Kluyveromyces lactis: one gene and its partner. The protein of the gene in region 1 interacts with the protein of each later gene in a pairwise test. Links are inferred from orthologs where the notes say so. Each region holds a gene or a part of one and is shown on either strand. Other genes may lie near its edges.

Region 1 (3,928 bases):
TTAAGCATCCTTCTCATCTTTCCTCATATAAATGTTTTTTGGTATATTTTTTTAAGGCTTGCATCAATTACAAAATTAGAACAATGAAGATAAAAGGTTAGTCTTCTACAAGCTTAGTCCAGAAATGAAGGAATCTGATACGCATTTTGCTGCTACCGCTTAGGTGAATTCAAGTGAACCTGCATTTGAACAGTATAGAAATATGTCAGATTCACCCAATGAAATTCTTCAATATAGGGATAGTCCTGAGTTCGAAGATTGCTGCGATGCTATATCTCAAGATTTATTTGAATTGAACGGGAGCCTTTCAACTATGAACCACTTTGTAACGGCTTTGGAAACGAATGTATCCCACGGTAAATCTAACACTAAAGTTATCGACAATATCAATAAGAAGACGGTTGAACTAATAGACAAAAGTACAAAATTAGTATCATCGATAAACGAGAATATTCATAAAGTTAATGAGTTAGAGGAGTCGGCTTTGGATAAGCCTCATTTGATCACAAGGGAGAAGTTGACTAGGGATGCGAAATTCTCTGTACAGGAATTCAAGAAATATCAACAACATTTTCTTGAAGTTACAAAGCGGATAAATGACATGGCCAAAGTGGCTTTGGAAGATGAAGAACAAAATAATTCCTTGATGGATACTGTTTTAAGAGAGGAAGAAGATGAACACGCAAAAAGAACACAGGTGGTTATAGAGCGAGAACCAATAAATAATGAGGAATTTGCATACCAGCAACATCTGATCAGGGAACGAGACCAAGAGATATCAAACATAGAACAAGGTATAACGGAATTAAATGGCATATTCAAGGACTTAGGTGGTTTAGTGCAACAGCAAGGGCAGCTAGTAGATAGCATTGAAGCTAATTTGTACAATGTAGAAGATAATACCAGAAATGCAGCAAATGAGTTATCTCGCGCTATGAGATCCGGACGCAGTTCAAGTAAGCTAAAACTACATTTCCTTTTCATACTATTGTTTTTCCTTCTTCTCACAATACTGGCTGTTTTCAGTTGAATGAATGGTATTCATGAGGCGTCATGGATGCCTCCATTTTATGTAATTTTTATGCAGGTTATACTAGGTTACAAATCAGATATTGATAAAGTCCGGCAAAGAAGCTAATTCTCATCGAATTTCCATACGTTAACATGACCGTCGTCACCAGCAGTTATCAATAAGATGACATCTTTAGAGCCATACTCTACCCATTTCACCATATTTGTTTCATAAACTCCGTGTGTTAATTCGTGAATGCACTCAACTATCCAGCCATCTTCCGATTCCTTGTATATAACTAGACGTCCGTCAGAACCGGTACTAGCAATATACCCCTTAGGACTCCAGTTAACACTGTAGACTGCCCTTGTATGAGCCTTCGGTAGAATTGATTCTTGGATCCATTCTTGCTCGTATTCTCCGTTATCATCTTCGAGACACCATATTCTGACGGTCCCATCATCGCTACCACTGCATAGCCTGACGTTGGAATTAGATTTCTCGAAATCTGAAGACCACACAGTCCCTTCATGCCCGTTAAGTACAGCACAACATTCCCAATCATCATCACAATCCTTCCAAATACGCACCGTGTCATCATAGGAACTGGATGCCAATAAGGGAAGCGATTGATGCCATATTACGTGCTTTACATCTTGTGAATGTTCTTGTAGAACACTGATACATTCGAACTCTTCGCCCATTTCATCAGCTTCCCAAATCCAAACGCTCTTATCCCTCGAACAAGTAGCTAATAATTCACCATCATGAGACCATGCCACACATTTAATTTCATTCTCATGACCCTCTATAATGGCTAATAACTCCGTTTCCAGATCATTCTCATCGTTGTATCCATCATCGTCCTTGCCCCAAATCGATACAGTGGAATCAAACGAACCAGCAGCCAAGATATTAGAATGAGGCCTCCACGCAACACTTCTAACAGTCTTCTTATGTGCAGTATCATCCAATTCCTCGATAATTTGAAAAGAACGTATATCAACTAGTTTAATCTTTCTGTCGGTACTTCCAGTTGCCATAATTCCACCATTATTAACGTCGACGCTCCAGCACTTATCATCATGCAATGCAAGCGACTTCAATAACTTCAACCCAGCCATCGTTCAGTTCTAATACGGCACTTATACTAATTGCAGGTATCCTTGTTCTTTGGATTATCAATAAAACACCAAGTGTGTTATGCATATGGCTACTATCATAAGTTTGGATCTCTTTGTCTTAATTATTATAAGTTCTTATATTTCAAATCTTTTCAGATATTGCAAGGAAGACTCATGCATAAAGAATCGATACATATGAATGATAACACTGGCATAATTGACCTGGAAAGTCATTAGTGTGGTTCTTCAATAATTGATACTCTCCTTTGATACGCCAAAAGGCGATTCTAACCTGTGAATACACGACATCAGAATCTTATAAGATGAAATTGTTACTTGGAAGCATCAAAAGATTATCGTCGTCATCGAAAACAACTCTACCTCAACCTTCTGCTGGTAAGTCTTCTTCGCTATTGAAAACAGTTCTGCTACTGTCTGGCTCTGTTGCAATCGGTGCGCTATCATGGAACTACTACAAGGAGAGTTTATATCAAAGGGAGTTATCAAGGGATTACTTCTCGAAGTACAAAATCAGCAAGAAGTATTCCATTGATCAGGATCACTATTTGATCGAATTGACACCTTTGAAAGCACAGAAGGTTAATCTTTGGAAAGAAATGAACTCTTCAAAACTCTGGTCAGTCGAAGTTAAACAGCCAGAGATTATGGTTGTTAGAAGCTACACACCTCTGCCTCTGACAATCGAAGAAAACGGAGCCGTTGAAGTACTTCGAGATGAGGAAAACGCCAGCGGCGCATTAACTTTCTACATTAAACAGTATAAACAGGGAGAAGTGGCTCGTTGGATTAACCATCTACCTTTGGGACATGTACTTGAGCTGCGTGGACCGTTTGTAGAATATGAATTCCCTGATACTGCCGATGAGATCACGAGAGATAGATCGTTCTTATGGGGGAATGAAGATTGTGTCAAAGACAATTACAAGTACCAACCATTCGATATATTGTTCTTTACTGGAGGCACAGGTATCGTTCCTTTATTACAAATGACTTTAACTGAGTCACCATTCAGAGGTAAGATTGGTGCTTATCATAGTTGTAAATCACTTACCGAATTAGGGCCGTTGAATAGTATTCTAACAAAACTTCAAGATAACGACAGAATCGAATTACATACACATGAGAGTAACCGGATTTCGATTCCTTTGCAATCTGATCCTGCCATGGAAGGAATACCTTCTCCTTATCCATACGGTGGTAATGAGCCGTTTACCTCGTTAGACTCAAAAGTGAGGCCAGTTCTCTCTCTTGTATGCGGTCCAGGTGGATTTATTTCCACGGTTTCAGGGCCAAAGTACGATTTGGTACAAGGCCCAATCAAAGGAATACTAGCTGCTCGTGGTTGGGATAATTCAAACGTATATAAGTTGTCGTGACCTTTGACTCGTACATAAACTCTTCTCATTTGATAGAACACTGTAAATACCATCATGTCAGCTGTATCGGACATTTTTTCAGATATAACGAAACCACACAAATACAACTTAGATCACAGAATATATACATAGATAACACATGGAACATGTGTAACCTCCACTTTCCTGCTGTGTAGCTACTATTGTGATTACTGAGACAAGCAGTTTTTAGGTTTACAGCAAATATCTTGTCATGCTTGCAAGTTCTCAACTTGTTAGAAATAAAAGTCGTATTCTTTTCAAGAGATTCAATAGTTCGGTTAAAACGACTGGATTCAAATTGAGGGAATCGGATCTGCCCAAGAATGCCACAATATTCAGTTTAATTCAACCTACTGGCAAGTTCCATTTAGGTA
Region 2 (4,928 bases), on another chromosome or scaffold:
AGCTCTCACACCTGGATTGGCTCCAGTTGGTGCGAGCGATGAGGAGGAATCAGAAGACGAAGATGAAGATTATTGAGCTCATATTTACAAAGACGTACAGGTACGGAGTTTTCATTGCGGCTCATACAAAGGTGTGTTTTTTTCTCTCAGCATATGATCAAATACTCAGTAGACTCAAGTGTTCATTGTCGGTTCATATATATTAATTAAGTATATTCATTATTTGAAGGAAGTAGAACTACTCAAATGGTACCTGTCCTAATTCCAAATATGCCTGTTTTGTGTCTATGCATTGTTTGCGCACTCTACGCTTCGAGTCATCTAAACCAATTTGAAGTTTTGATATAATTTCATTCTTCATGGGGATCAAGTAGTTAAGGGGAACACTGGTTGTTAAAGTCTGAAGAATTTCTAATGACAGAAATCTTACGTTCACGTTACTATATTTCGATGGGACCAATAAGTTAAGTAACAGCGGAACTAACGAATGGACATGTTCAGTAACCAACTGAGACATTTGATTCACAGTATTTTTTAGTGTCTCTAGAGATGATATTCTGACTTCGATATTCTCTAGTTCAAGAGCCTGAAGAAGAAGAGGTAACAAGTCCGTGATATACGATATGGTGATATTTGATGGAGTATTCTTTAAAACTAAAGAAACTGCGGTAAGATAATTCGATTTAATGGTCATATTATCAGAAGATTTGAAGGCGTTTACCATTTTTTGTGCAATGTGATTGAAAAACTTCTGCTTGTAAATTAATCGAATATTGTTATTCCATGACACCTTTTTAAATCTTTGAAAAATTAGAAGGTCAAGAACTAAAACTTCAAAGAGGTGAGCAACCTTATTGCCAAACTTCTCGTCACTTAAAAGAGAAAATAGATGATCCGTCAATTTTGTTGCAAGAACTGAATTTTTCATGACCAAACCTTTGTTAATCCAGCATATTATTTCAAGATTCTTAATAGATGTGTCAGTTAGGTCCAGCACGCTTTCTATGTAAGATTCTGTAACCCATTTATTTGATAATAGCGCCAAGAACTCCAAGTAATTTAGAGATTCGAAAGTTGGGAGAGCTTCATTATTCTTAATGAGTTCAATGGCTTTTGAAAATATATCATTCGCGGCTTCAAAAGATGTATTCTTATCCAAAGCTGCCAAAAGCCTGGAGTAAATCACAATAGATCTTTGAGCAGAATCAAAAATTCTTTCTTCATCCAAGAAACATTTATTATAGGTAATAAGTTCACTTTGATGGGTTGAGACATCAGATTTTATGTTAAGCTGAAATAAAACTCCAGCCGCAAGGCTCAAGGAGTGGTCATCAAGGTATATCATATCATTTTTCAAAGAGTTTTGTAAAAATGTCTCTTCCATCGATTCCTTCAAGAATTGCACAACGTTCTGGTCGAATTCATCAATGTTATTCTGCAAAAGGGAAAAAAGACATGACAAAATCAAAAAACAATAATCGCTGCAATTTGGATGCATTACAATGAGGTTTAATTTCGAAGCAAGACCAACAATACTTTCTTTGACCAAATGGTGCCTTGAAGTAGTGAAATCGAGAATGACCTTCAAAACTCGCTCTATTGGGACTATATCAGTGTTATTCAATGTGATTGGAACCATGTTTTCATTATCAGGAAGTAGATGTAACATGTACTTCAAAGAGACTTCATAAATAATGGATTCATTGAACACACTGATAAACTTGAGACCCTCCAAGCATGCGCAGTATATATTCTTATTCTCGTCAGTCAAAATTGTTTCGGTGAAATATTGGACAATCATCGCTATTTCCTCGCTATCCAAAAAACCTGACATTTTAACTAGTGTGGTGAATTGTATGATAGCAAGCGTCCTCAGGGTAACTTCATTTTTGGATGTACCAGTTAATGCCTTGCTGAAAACCATTAATATGCTGTCTTTGTGATTTTGTAATTCATTCTTAGCATGGAATTTGGAAATCTCTTTACCGGTCTCGCCAAAGAGTGAAATATAAGCGCTAAAAAATGGCGCCAAATTGAGAATCAAGAGTTTCTGTTTAGAAGCATCTAAGTCTTTATCCATGAAAAGCACTGGAATCACTTTTTTCATGACTTTATTAAATGTTTGCAAGCTCACTTTAGAAATTGAAGCGAGCAGGTCACAACACTGTTTTAAATCCTTATCTTGTTCAAAATTTGGAACAAACTCATCAAATATATGATTAAAAAATTTATCAAATGCATGTTCATCTAGTGCGATGAGTTTCGAAGATAATGAAGTTATAATAGAGAGCGAATCCGAGTAGTTACTAATATTTCCTTCTGGTCTCGAGTTTTGGTTTTCTGTATCCATTGCAGTATCGAGGATTGAAGGTTCCGGGTCTGTGCCATTTAAAATTTCAAACTTTAGGGCATCCCAAATTGGCAGCCAGTGTTTCAAAGATGATGTTCCACTGAATGTATCCACACATGCTTTGAGGGTCAGTATAGTATCATTTTTAACAGTTGGTGACGATGCTGCCAATTTATCTAAGAGGTTCCCAAAAGCATCCTCCTCAAACTTTTCCGTGGCAGTGATGGCACTTCTCAAGGCTAGTTTCAAATCATTATTGGTAATTTTGTATGGATCATTACTTGGGGGTTTGAACATGATTGGGAAGTAGCAGAATAATATATCAAATAATTCCTCCTTGAAACTGTCAATGTTGCGTAAACCGGTGCTAATATCAGAATTCAAACGGAAAGATATGAGAAGATTTCTAGGATCTTTCTCACCAGTTGCAACAAGAATAAAAGTTTCGATATATAAGTCATTCAATTTGAGATTGCCCAACATCTGGGATTTGAATTTGATAAGTATATTATCCATAATCCTGAATCCGAAATATCTAGTCGCAGCCAAAAAGTTAGTAGGTTGATAGTCATTTCCTAAAAGTTTTAACAGCTTTTCGACGTGACTAACGTAAAAACAGTCCATTAGTACTAATGAGTTGATCCCTTGTAGTGTTTCTTTCATGCAGCCTGAATCTTCCATCTTACTTTGGTAGAAATCGAATATCACTGAAACATCATTCTTCTTTAGTACCGCTGGTGAAATGTGTTCCAATATACAAGATAAACAGCTCAATGCATTTTGTCTGGTGCTATCGTCATCAGAGGTTAAGTACTCTCGTAAAAATATTACAATTCGTAACAATTCAATGCTCTTTCGAGTTACCTCATCAGCGATCGTATTGGCCAATTTGTCTGCCACAGAAGTATTAACCTTTGCATTAGCCATAAAACTGACAATGTCTGCTTTCAATTTATCTTCTGTATAGTCTGTCGCCATTATGGTACGATATAAATATTTTACAGTGATAGGGCGGTCTTCAATGACAAGTTTATCGAATGCTAAAGCACTAAATAACTCGTTGAGTTCTTACTCGTTCTTGTTGACTAAGGTTGGGTTTTATTCCACATTACGATTTTGATATGTGCAATGCTTCCGATTAGGCTTAATTATTTGATTACCCGGAACACTCCGTATCATGTGACCAGATCAAGAATAACAATTCAGTGAAGTTAACAGTAGGAGATGACGATGAAATGATCTGCATAAGGGAGTGGAAGAAAGAATTGCTGTCTACGCGGTAAGAGATCGTTATTCATAATTGATCGTGTTCCCAAGGTTTATGGAATACGAGAATTTGGGTTGAATTGTGCTTTTATCAAAAGGCCTATTGTCACGAAAATTCGCTTTCCAATTGTTTTAAATCATAATAAGAAAGGTCCAATACTGCCAGATATCCACAACTTACAATTGGACATGAACTCTGGGTTTATGTTTCCTCCAGTGGGGAAAGAAAACAGGGCACATGGTACCTTACTTTCTGATGATATGGGTAATGATTTTAAGTTTCCAAGTGAGAATGTGAACCAAGTAGAGGTTGAAAAGCAACAACAGTATCCTTCCACCCAGATTGACCAGGGGGCTGTGCAACATAGCAATACAGATTATCCTCAACAGACACTGAATATCATAGACATTCCACCGGTAGATCCTAATGGTGTGACCCCAGAACAATTCCATATCAATGCATTGCAATTGAACAAGCCGGGAGATAACCTGTCGAACAAAATTACAAACAATATAAATTACAGCATCAACGAGGTATCTCAGCAACCAAGACCTGATCCTGCATCTGCTAATAGTACATCCTCATTCCCCGATGAATACGTTGCCGGATTAAGACAGAAATCGGCAACTGACTGGAAAAGTCCGTCTGAATACGCATTACACATTCTTTTCACAAAGTTCGTAAGATTTGCCGAGATGAAGCTTAATATATGTTTACAATATCCGAGAGAGACGGAACCTCCAATTATAGAAATTTTAGGAGAAGGCAAGGATATAGAATTTGACAAAATTATAGAATCGTTGGGTTTCATTTCCAAGAAAAATGCGAAACCGGTAATAGATGCAATGATGTTTTGGAGGAAGACAAAGTCTGAAGTAGCTGCTTTAGCAGCGGAAAAACTGGATAAAATCATGCAAGAATATGAGCAGTATGTGAAGAATAATGAGCAAGTTCTGGCAGCTAGTCGAACTCACTCAAAATCATCTAGCTCAGCTAGCAGCAGGTTGACACATAGAAGAAATACCTCATCAAAGTCCTCTACAAGCCTGAATTCTCATTCAGATCCCAAATTTGCATCATTAGAGAACCAGGTAGAGAGAACAAAAGAAATGGCTTTCCAGGCCGATAGAAAATCTCTTATTACCATTTATATTTTGTGTCGTGTTTTGATCGAGATTGTCAAGCAGAATCCTATGGACTTTGATGATGAGTTAAGTACGAAGCTTGAAGGTATCGTTTTCACACAATTGAAGACTACCGATCCATCATCACTGTCTTCAACGCTAATTAAATCAGCAAATTGGAACTCGT

The links.
Region 2: the proteins of CIA1 (region 1) and MET18 interact in binary tests that used the Saccharomyces cerevisiae proteins (3 or more experiments, as listed by UniProt). The link is inferred for Kluyveromyces lactis from reciprocal best matches to the Saccharomyces cerevisiae genes CIA1 and MET18.

The regions. Positions count from the first base shown.
Region 1 is NC_006041.1:1,943,731-1,947,658, forward strand, and holds CIA1 (iron-sulfur cluster assembly protein CIA1), read right to left. Parts: upstream 2,137-3,928; coding exon 1,135-2,136; downstream 1-1,134. Other genes in the region: SNAP receptor PEP12, read left to right, coding at 203-1,030; CYC2 (oxidoreductase), read left to right, coding at 2,460-3,533; tryptophan--tRNA ligase MSW1, read left to right, coding at 3,766-3,928. UniProt on the Saccharomyces cerevisiae protein: Essential component of the cytosolic iron-sulfur (Fe/S) protein assembly machinery. Required for the maturation of extramitochondrial Fe/S proteins.
Region 2 is NC_006042.1:440,868-445,795, forward strand, and holds MET18 (Met18p), read right to left. Parts: upstream 3,329-4,928; coding exon 239-3,328; downstream 1-238. Other genes in the region: RRT14 (Rrt14p), read left to right, coding at 1-76; TAO3 (Tao3p), read left to right, coding at 3,806-4,928. UniProt on the Saccharomyces cerevisiae protein: Key component of the cytosolic iron-sulfur protein assembly (CIA) machinery that mediates the incorporation of iron-sulfur cluster into apoproteins specifically involved in DNA metabolism and genomic integrity.